Linked DNA regions of Arabidopsis thaliana. The protein of the gene in region 1 interacts with the protein of each later gene in a pairwise test. Each region holds a gene or a part of one and is shown in the gene's direction. Other genes may lie near its edges.

What was found.
Region 2: the proteins of AT5G25940 (region 1) and ABCG13 interact in a protein complementation assay, tested with the Arabidopsis thaliana proteins (one large-scale study listed by BioGRID).

Annotation. Positions count from the first base shown.
Region 1 is NC_003076.8:9,053,595-9,057,073, reverse strand, and holds AT5G25940 (early nodulin-like protein), read left to right. Parts: upstream 1-1,818; 5' UTR 1,819-1,922; coding exon 1,923-2,028; intron 2,029-2,112; coding exon 2,113-2,174; intron 2,175-2,431; coding exon 2,432-2,507; exon of another isoform or gene 2,508-2,718; coding exon 2,719-2,822; 3' UTR 2,823-2,952; downstream 2,953-3,479. Other genes in the region: AT5G25930 (kinase family with leucine-rich repeat domain-containing protein), read right to left, coding at 3,096-3,479.
Region 2 is NC_003070.9:19,076,308-19,083,207, reverse strand, and holds ABCG13 (ABC-2 type transporter family protein), read left to right. Parts: upstream 1-1,756; 5' UTR 1,757-1,872; coding exon 1,873-2,059; intron 2,060-3,641; coding exon 3,642-3,721; intron 3,722-3,805; coding exon 3,806-4,267; intron 4,268-4,341; coding exon 4,342-4,464; intron 4,465-4,546; coding exon 4,547-4,708; intron 4,709-4,795; coding exon 4,796-5,080; intron 5,081-5,162; coding exon 5,163-5,435; intron 5,436-5,530; coding exon 5,531-5,638; intron 5,639-5,719; coding exon 5,720-6,076; 3' UTR 6,077-6,370; downstream 6,371-6,900.

The DNA of each region.
Region 1 (3,479 bases):
TGAAAACCTTTAATTCGTATAAATTAATATATATGTTTTGTTTCACAATAACTAAAAAAATAAGTAAAAGTAGAAACAACAGATATGTAAGCTCTATAAGTAGTAGGAAAAATGTAATTAAGGATCCAAAATAATAATATTTATATTTTATTTGCAACCGAAAATTTTATAGACAACTCGCATTGAAAATGTTCTCAACTTGTTTTTATAGGAGGCAATACTTCTTGCGGTAGGGTTCAATTATATTGGTGCTCAATCAGGGAATTGTCCGATGCCATTTTCCAGTGGAATTTGATAGAAAATTTAAAATTAAGCATCAAAAAGTTGTCTGATGGCATTCATCGGAGTTGTCTTGAATCACCATTTTTCCGTTTCATCTCCTAACGTCTGTTTTTCACTTAAAAAGTCTCCAATTCCAGTATAACTTCGTAAAACTTGTACAAAACAACCGAAAAATACATTAAAAACGAACAAAAATGTGACAAACAACTCAAAACAAACACTAGACAAAGGACATAAGACACTAAAAACACAATATACCACATACAATTTTGGAGACACCCGCACACCGCTCTTCACCTCTTGGACTGTCAGTAACATTATGACATGACTATAGACATTACATTCACTTTCATGAAATTTACAACTACTCTTTGGATTTGGGTTGCAGAAAGATGCATACAGTAAAACAGCTCCATCAACCTCTTATGCTCATGTTTCATGCACATAAGTACTCAATTAGCCATAGGTGGAAGCTTAGACCCTGTTTCGACTTTCGAGTAGCTCGGATATATATGCATTATATCACATATCCCTTAGCACCATATTTTCTAATTTAATTTACAATATCACTCATTGCCACAAGTGTATAAAAACCATAGCAATAGAAGGGTATCAAAGTTCAAGTAACCAATTAAATTAGAACACTAGAAATACATTCTATCATCCAATCTAAGCAATCAAGTTAAATCATTAGAACAATATTGAACTACCGCCGAAGTAAGATCTCGTCTACCGGAGATATTGTCAGATTCTTGCCTCCGTTTTGTATTTGTTGTTTTGATTTGTAAAACTTTGGCTCAAGTCCAATTCAGGTATTATAATATTTTTAAAAAAAGAATATTGAACTATTAATAAAATCTTAACATTTTCTGTTGGTCCCTAGTACTTTTGATGGGCTCTCTATATCTTCGCTTTTGTATGTTTGAAGCATTAAGGCCGAATTCATTTAAAACTCAACTTCTATACCAAAAATTTTATTTTAAATTTTATGTAATTAAAATAAACTAACCAATTTTTTAAAAATTACTATTTTAATCACATATAAAATTAAGTTTTAATTTATCTTTCTATACAAAAATATCATCATTAATGAAATTAACTAATTTATTATATTTTTTTAATCATTTTTTCACTTATAAATTTTATCTAAAACTGAATCGATTAATTTCTTATATCTCTAAAGATATCCGTATGGTAACAAAATTGACTCCAAACATTTCTTAAGTCGATTTCTAAAACCGCTCCAAAAGACCATTGTGCATTAAAAATACTAAAAATCTAAAATTTAAAATATTCTCAATAACAAACATTTACGAACCACTGAATTTTATTTTATTTTAAAAATAATCTATAACATAATAATTGTTTTATCTGTTTTCTAACACAAATTATTCTAAATACATGATTGAAATACATTTCTAAATTGGCGTTTTATAGACTATAGTATTTTGACAACTTTGTTTTCAATATTGGCGTTTCATTATTTTGGTGAAAGATTCCCAACTTATAAAAAAAAAAAACGAATTTTTAATTTTCGTCCTAATCATTTATTTCCTAACCAAAGAAAAAGGCAAATCGCGACCCGTCTCTCTCTCTCTCTCTCTCCTTGAAATCGAAAGATCAAAAAAGCGACACTGAAAATGGAAAATCGGTCAGAAATGGGTAACCGGAGGCAGCAGAATCTCTTCGTCATAGCTTCTCCCGACGAGATTGCTAAGATCCATCGAGCCGAAACTTCCAAACAAGGTCTCTTCTTCTTTCTCCGTCTCTCTCTCTCTTTTTTCCCCTAAAAAAAATCTTTTAAATTGATGACTTTGGATTATGTTACAGCCGGAGCTATTGCCGGAGCTAAGGCCGCCGCCGTTGCCGCCGTCGCCAGTGCGATTCCCACAGTAATCATATAATCTCACTTATCTAAATTTTTTAAATTGAGATCTTAAATGAATTAAATGTAAGAGTTATGTTTCTTTGTTGTTGAATTTTAAGACAAAAGTGACTCACCAATCTCATGTTCTGTAATAATCAAGAGTTTCAATTTTGTTACCTATTCATTTTGTGATTTCTGAATACACCAAGTAGAGTCACATTCTTTTTGATGTGTATATAAGATATGAATTTGGTACATAAGCATGCCTTGTTTTCGTAACAGGTAGCTGCCGTTCGTATGTTCCCGTGGGCTAAGGCAAACCTCAACTACACTGCTCAAGCACTCATTATTTCTTCAGGTTAGCTCTATCAGCAATATGCCTTAAATCATTACTATATGTTCTTCCTGGAACTAAGTAGAAAAAAGATACTAGCTTTAACATTGTTGTAGAAACCTCGAACTTCCCTTTTGAACCTAGTTGAGTTTGGGGTTTTTAAGTATTCGTACATTCATTTCTCCACAATTTTCTTCTGATTTCTATCTTGTGATTATGGTGATCATTGGAACAGCTTCTATCGCTGCGTTCTTCATAACCGCGGATAAAACGATTCTACAAGGCGCAAGAAGAAACACCGAGGCTCAGTTAAAGAAAGTTCAGCAAGACTCTAAATAATTTCTCTTCTTATTGTAACACAAATCAATCATCATCTTTCTCTGTTTTGTATGCATATTTTGCCTTGATTCTTAATAAGAGTGTTATTATTATAAGGAATAACAAATTCTTTAAGACCATTTTTTATTCAGACTTTCAGATTTTGTTCTCAAATAAGTTACAAGCTGGTAGTTATACTCTTAACTAAAACTTTGCTTACACAAAAACTAAATGGTTTCTAATACATTTGTACATTTCACAAAAAAAACAACATCAAGTGTTGTGATTATTTGATTATACAAAACCTAAATCTTCATCTTCTACCCTTTTACTTGTCCTTCGACCCGATAAACTAACTAGTAGAGGTGCCTCATATGCCTCTGTTGCAGTCTTCTTCGTCGCCTCAAGTCCTTGTTGGCGCAGAACATACAAGACCTCTTTCATGGAAGGTCTATGACTAGGCAATGTGTTAGTACACATGAGACCTAGCTTGAAAACTGTTGTCATCGCCTCAGTCGTGGAAGCTTCTTTGATGTCCTCATCAAACGCCTCTGCGGTCGGTTTTCCAGATTGGTAATGTTTCCATGACCAATCTGCTAAGTTTGTGTGTTCATCTCCGTTGTTTCCTTCTCTTCCAGTCACCAGCTCTAGCAAAACTACCCCGAAGCTGTACACATC
Region 2 (6,900 bases), on another chromosome or scaffold:
AGTTATGATATGGAAAAGATGGAAGAAGTCATTTAATAAGTTTATCTAACAATCTATGATTAGGTTATCGCAGTAATGAATTTTCTTTCTTAGCAGAAATGAATAATTTAGTCACACTAACTACATAGCTTTAATTTCTGTTGATACAATTGAAGACAAGAAGACATAAACGTTGAAACAGTGTATTTGGTACTGTGTATGTGTTTGATTAGCACGAAACATGGTTAAAAACATCACATGGTTAAAACAAATCCGTCACCATCTGTTTTTTTTTTTTTTTTTACAACATACTTGTTTTCCATTCGTCATATCCGAAAGAGAATAAATTTGCAAGCTCTTCAAATTCATGGTTCGGTATTATAATCTTAAAAAAAATATATAAACTTACAATATAAATAGAACGATAGGTTTGATAAACAATAAAAATAGATGATAGGGGGCCATAAATAAAAACTCGAAAACAAAAGTTAAATAGCAAAATGCAACAAGCAAGCTCATGATGTGTCGAATACACTTCTGCAAACAATTTGGGGGAGATTAAAAATAGTCACTATAAAAAAAATCTTATGACGTTGAGAATCCGTCTTTTGCCTCAAAAATTACCAACACGAACCACATTGAAGCAGCAAGGAACATTGGACGGTTTCTTTCCAGAGGCAGAAACTAAATAGTATATCTCAATAAGAAATTTAACATACGACCAAAATTAATTGCTTTATAAAAATAATTAAAATATTAATGATAACCTTTTCCGTGGTTAATTTTCGGCCATTATGATAAAATAATTGATCCAATCATATGTTTACACAACATACTTAAAATTCCTTATATACTCTCTTGATTACTTTCTTACCAGTTACATAAACTCAATATGCAACAACTAGATTACTTTAATCTAAACGTTCTGATATACGGCCTTATGTCGATGTTAAGTTATATATATCACGTTCACAATGTATATAAATAATTCAAATAATTTTCCAAAAGTAATGGCGTCTAAATATAGTTGAGTTGAATAGTATAGACTCTCCTCATGGATTTGAATTTCCTCTGTGATTCGTTTGAAAAAAAACAATGTTTTGGAGTGCTATACTAGTTGATACACCCAACCAAATCGGAATTTTATAAAAAATTTGGACAAAATTACCAGAAAATAAAATTATTGCAATTTACGTGATATATACCCTAAAGTGTTATGTTTCCTTAAATCGTGTAACGAAACCATAAGTTTCTTATCATGCGGATGTCTGTAGCTCTCGACATATATAGTACCGAACGGGTCCAACGAGTAAATGAATATAACATCAAACGTCAATTTTTCTGTCACATGCCTCGTCTATGCATGCATGATAGTGTACATATATAATAGTTTCCTTTCTGTCTTTTACACTATTCTTAATCCACTTTTCTGTTTTGCATGGGTAGATATTTTGTTTTGGTTTCATAAAATAAATAGAAACCAATATCATTTAGTTTGGTTCGATTTTTCTTCGGATTCTAAATTTTTTTTATTTTATTTTAACTAAACTATATGTTTTATTTATTTTTAGTCATGATTTATTTTATATATCAAAAATATGTAACCGAATTTATTACATCTAGTTTTTTCCAATCACTTTCTTTGGTACAGTTTCGGTTTGACTCAAATTAGTTTAAACCAATTTGGACCACCCTAATTTATACATTTTTTTTTTCAAAGACCCTAGTTCTCTTAATACATTCACCGCACAACTTTTTATAACTATAAATAAGGCCACAAGCATTCACACACATTACACTTTTCTCTCCCAAAGAAACAAAAAAAAAAACTCTTAAGCTAGAACAAGTTTAAAACTCTTCGCTCAGTTTTCGATCTATCTAACAAAAGCATACATGACTACGCCGGAGGGGGCGATGTATGTGGCGTGGGAGGATCTTACGGTGGTGATACCAAACTTCGGTGAAGGAGCAACTAAGAGATTACTGAATGGAGTGAATGGTTGTGGTGAGCCAAATAGGATCTTAGCTATTATGGGTCCTTCAGGTTCAGGCAAATCTACGCTTCTTGATGCTTTAGCAGGTCCCTTCTCTCTCTCTCAGACACACACACCCATACATGTCAAGATTAGCTCGTCGTTTTTATTATGTATTTCTTTTATTGTTAAATGGTTTTCCTCTATTATATAAATCTCAAATAAGCTGAAGCAACATCGACCAACAATTAAAAGATATAGTTTTTAGAGGAATTTAACAACCAACCACATTTAGCTTTGAAACCAACATTAAAGGATGAGACTTACCCACTTTGAACCTAGTATTTAGTGAATCGTTCTATGTACTCTATATATATATATATATAACTATAATTAACAATATACATGACGTTATGTCTTTCTTTTAAAAAATTGTCCAAGGAAACTTTCTCAATATACTATGTAAAAAGTGTTTCACTTTTGGAAAATAAGAAATTTCTGTTTTCTTACATTAAAAAATATTCACAAATCTTTTAGTAATTTTTATTTGGAATTGATAAGGATTTCTGCCATTCGTAGTTAAATTTGAGAATATAAGTTAGAATTTATTTGTTAGATATATATATATATATATATATATAGGTGTATGTCTGTGCGTGGGTGGGTGTGTGTCCTATTCAACATAAAATATTTAATTATTATTAACCTGTAAATTCGTATGTAATCAAAATTAACTAATATGATACTTGATTAGTTTTTTGTATATTGGAAAAATACATTACTACAATAAAATTGATAACTTTCCTATTTGAAAGCAACAAACTATGTACATACTGTATCAGTATCACAATTTGGTGAAATGAAAATATTAACTGAAGTTTTTGTACTCTTCTGTAATTTTTTTTTTTTTTCTTCTGTAACTTTGACCAAACGTAACATATATATATGTAAAAGAAATTTGAGAGCATGATATAACATATTTATGTATCAAGATATTTATAACTATTGAAAAACAGTGCTATATTTATATCTAAGTTTCATGTACACGATGAGACATATATAGATATTTCTAACTTTATATTTATGGATTCTAGCTACCAATTTTATTTTTTAAGTATAGCTATATACTATCGGAGTACTAAATAAATATTAAAAAAAAAATAGTTGCAATTTTCATGTTCTTAATTAATAAATTTACATCGTCGTACATTTAGTATTGAATAAATTGATAGTTACGTTTCTCTAACGTAGACTATGTACAGAAATTTTGCAGTAACATTTCTTATTAAATCATATTTTAAATGTTAACCAACTACCAATCACCAATATTCTGACACAAATATTTAGGATTGCACGATCGTATCTTCATACCGACTTGCGATCTCTTCACAAGTTGAACCCGGTTTGGTGACTGGTCGGACTCTTTGAGGGATGTTACGTTCAATCCAAAAACAATCCAAATCGATTATTATTTTCTTGACCAAACCTAAATTTGATTGGATTAAGAAGATCTTTATTTTATGCTTATGACTAATCGAAACCAATTTAATTTTACTGTGGCTAATATTCTTGTAAAAGCGAAAAACCCAAAACCGGGTTATAAGATTGTTCTATCAATGCTATAAGATTGTTCAAAAACATGAAAGATTTAACATCTAACATTAAAAGGTAAATTTGGTGATGGTACAGGAAGATTAGCAGGGAATGTTGTAATGAGTGGCAAAGTACTTGTCAATGGCAAGAAGAGAAGACTTGACTTTGGTGCTGCCGTAAGAAAATTTATCTTTTCTCTTTAGTTTTTACCCTTTTACACAATCAAACTATTATTATTCATGAATGTCCTAAACTCTCAGGCTTATGTGACGCAAGAAGATGTGTTGCTAGGAACTTTGACAGTGAGAGAATCCATATCTTACTCGGCTCATCTCAGGCTCCCTTCAAAGCTTACCAGAGAAGAGATCAGTGACATTGTGGAAGCTACAATCACTGACATGGGTCTTGAAGAATGTTCAGACAGGACCATTGGAAACTGGCATTTGCGTGGAATAAGCGGAGGAGAGAAGAAACGGCTTAGTATTGCCCTCGAGGTCTTAACAAAACCAAGTCTCCTCTTTCTAGACGAACCAACTAGTGGACTGGACAGTGCTTCAGCTTTCTTCGTGGTTCAGATTCTTAGAAACATAGCAAGCAGTGGCAAAACTGTGGTTTCTTCGATCCATCAGCCGAGTGGTGAGGTTTTCGCCCTCTTTGATGACCTGCTACTTCTGTCTGGAGGAGAAACTGTTTACTTTGGCGAAGCAGAATCTGCAACAAAGGTAATAAGATAGAGCATTGGCAAGAGTATATAACCATTATGCTCATTTGTGTTGTTGTTGCTTCGACATTGCAGTTCTTTGGTGAAGCAGGTTTTCCTTGTCCAAGTAGACGGAATCCATCAGACCACTTCCTTCGCTGTGTCAATTCCGATTTCGATAATGTCACAGCGGCTTTGGTTGAATCTCGGAGAATCAACGTTTGTTTTCCTCTGCCCTTCTTGTTTTTTCATGAACTTACAATACTCTCAAGCTTTTGACCTCGACCTTTTACATCTGCAGGATTCATCTTTCTCTCTTCACCAACTACATGAAACTACAAACACATTAGATCCTCTGGATGATATACCAACTGCAGAAATTAGAACAACACTTGTCAGAAAATTTAAGTGTTCACTTTATGCAGCAGCTTCAAGAGCAAGAATTCAAGAAATAGCATCGATAGTAAGTTACGGTTACTACTTCCCTTAAAACTACAATGTATCACATAATGAGAGTCTCATAAGCACAGTTATAAACCTTGTGCAACAGGTGGGGATTGTCACAGAAAGGAAAAAGGGGAGCCAAACTAATTGGTGGAAACAACTCAGAATACTTACTCAGCGATCTTTCATCAACATGAGTAGAGACTTGGGGTACTACTGGATGCGGATTGCAGTCTACATAGTGTTATCCATTTGTGTCGGGTCAATCTTCTTCAACGTCGGGAGAAACCACACAAATGTTATGAGTACTGCAGCTTGTGGCGGATTTATGGCAGGCTTTATGACATTCATGTCAATAGGAGGATTCCAATCCTTCATTGAAGAAATGAAGGTAAAGAGCTAAACAGAGAAAAATTCTCTTTCTTCACCTAAAAACTTATCTTATGTTTTAGCATCTTTATTCCTGAAAACAGGTGTTTTCTCGCGAAAGGCTCAATGGACACTATGGGGTTGCAGTATACACTGTGTCTAATTTACTCTCCTCATTACCTTTCATAATCCTTATGTGCCTCTCCACCAGCTCAATCACTATCTACATGGTGAGGTTCCAATCCGGAGGTTCTCATTTCTTCTACAACTGTCTCGACCTTATCTGCGCGATTACAACTGTGGAGAGTTGCATGATGATGATAGCTTCAGTAGTCCCTAACTTCTTGATGGGAGTCATGTTGGGAGCTGGTTACATTGTAAGAGTGGCCTCTGTCGCTCTTTCACCTACAAGCTTTCTTATATCTCCAAAAACTATTCTAAATTGAAAACCGCTTTATCCTTCATCTCATAGGGAATTATGGTGTTAAGTGCGGGGTTTTTCCGATTCTTCCCCGACTTACCAATGGTGTTCTGGCGATACCCGGTGTCCTACATAAACTATGGTGCATGGGCACTACAGGTAACCAGGTTTTCTCAACTTTAAGATGCAGACTATATCGTCAAGTAGCTATCTTAAATGAGCATACCTGATAAATTGCAGGGAGCATACAAGAATGAGATGATTGGGGTGGAGTATGATTCTCCGTTACCCTTGGTACCAAAAATGAAAGGAGAACTCATTCTTCAAACTGTTCTAGGCATAAATCCAGAAAGTTCAAAGTGGTTGGATCTAGCAGTTGTGATGATGATTCTCATTGGGTATAGGATTGCCTTCTTCGCCATCCTCAAGTTCCGGGAAAAGGTTTTCCCAGTTATTCACATGTTATACACAAAGAGAACTCTGAGCCATATCCAGAAAAGGCCTTCTTTCAGAAGAATGACACCTTTCCCTTCCAGGCGATACCCTGTTCACCATGCTCTCTCTTCTCAGGAAGGACTTAACTCTCCACTGCATTAGAAGCATATACAGCAGGATGCAATTTCCATATATTTCAATATGTCAGATGTCACTCTCTTCAAACTTGATAAACTGTTTGTAGCCCGTTGTGTAAGGAAAAAAAAAAGAAAAGAGAGATACTATCATTCTGACTAATGAGATTTGTTTAGCATGAGGATGGTATCTATCAGAGATACATATATTGGAGAAAAAAGATAAGCATGGCTACATTATCAGATTACAAGTGATGCATGCATGAACCCCTAAGAGAGAGTCTACCAACGAACCACCGTAAATATATCAAATAAGGCACTTCGTTTGCTAACATAGCTTCAGAAGAAACTGTGTTATGGAAATCAAATAAACAGAAGATGGTATGGAGATTTGTTACCTGGCTGGCAGTAGAACACTGGTCCTTGCTTGATAGCACCAGTGACGCAAATCTATAATCTGTGCAGCACAAGAACAGAACAGACCAGGCATATTTGACTTTTATCACTAAGTGCCATGAAATCTCCTCTTTTAGCATATAGTTGATAGGGAATAGAATCAAAACTAACAAAAGTAACCTCCCAAAGGCGTTTGTTGAACAGATAGAGAACAAACAACGAGATACTTAAAACCTTAAAAGTGTAAAACCAAGCAAAAATGGTAAATTTTCAACTTTGGGAACCCAAATATAAGCTCCCAGAAATATTACATAGTAAGGAAAAAAAATACACAAACAATCAATAACTTTAAACAAATATGGCTAATCCAGTTGTAAAATCAGAAAAAACCAGTCTGATTATTTTAGAGTAGACATGTACAGAACTCATTTGTTGTTCATTTGCTACCCTATGACT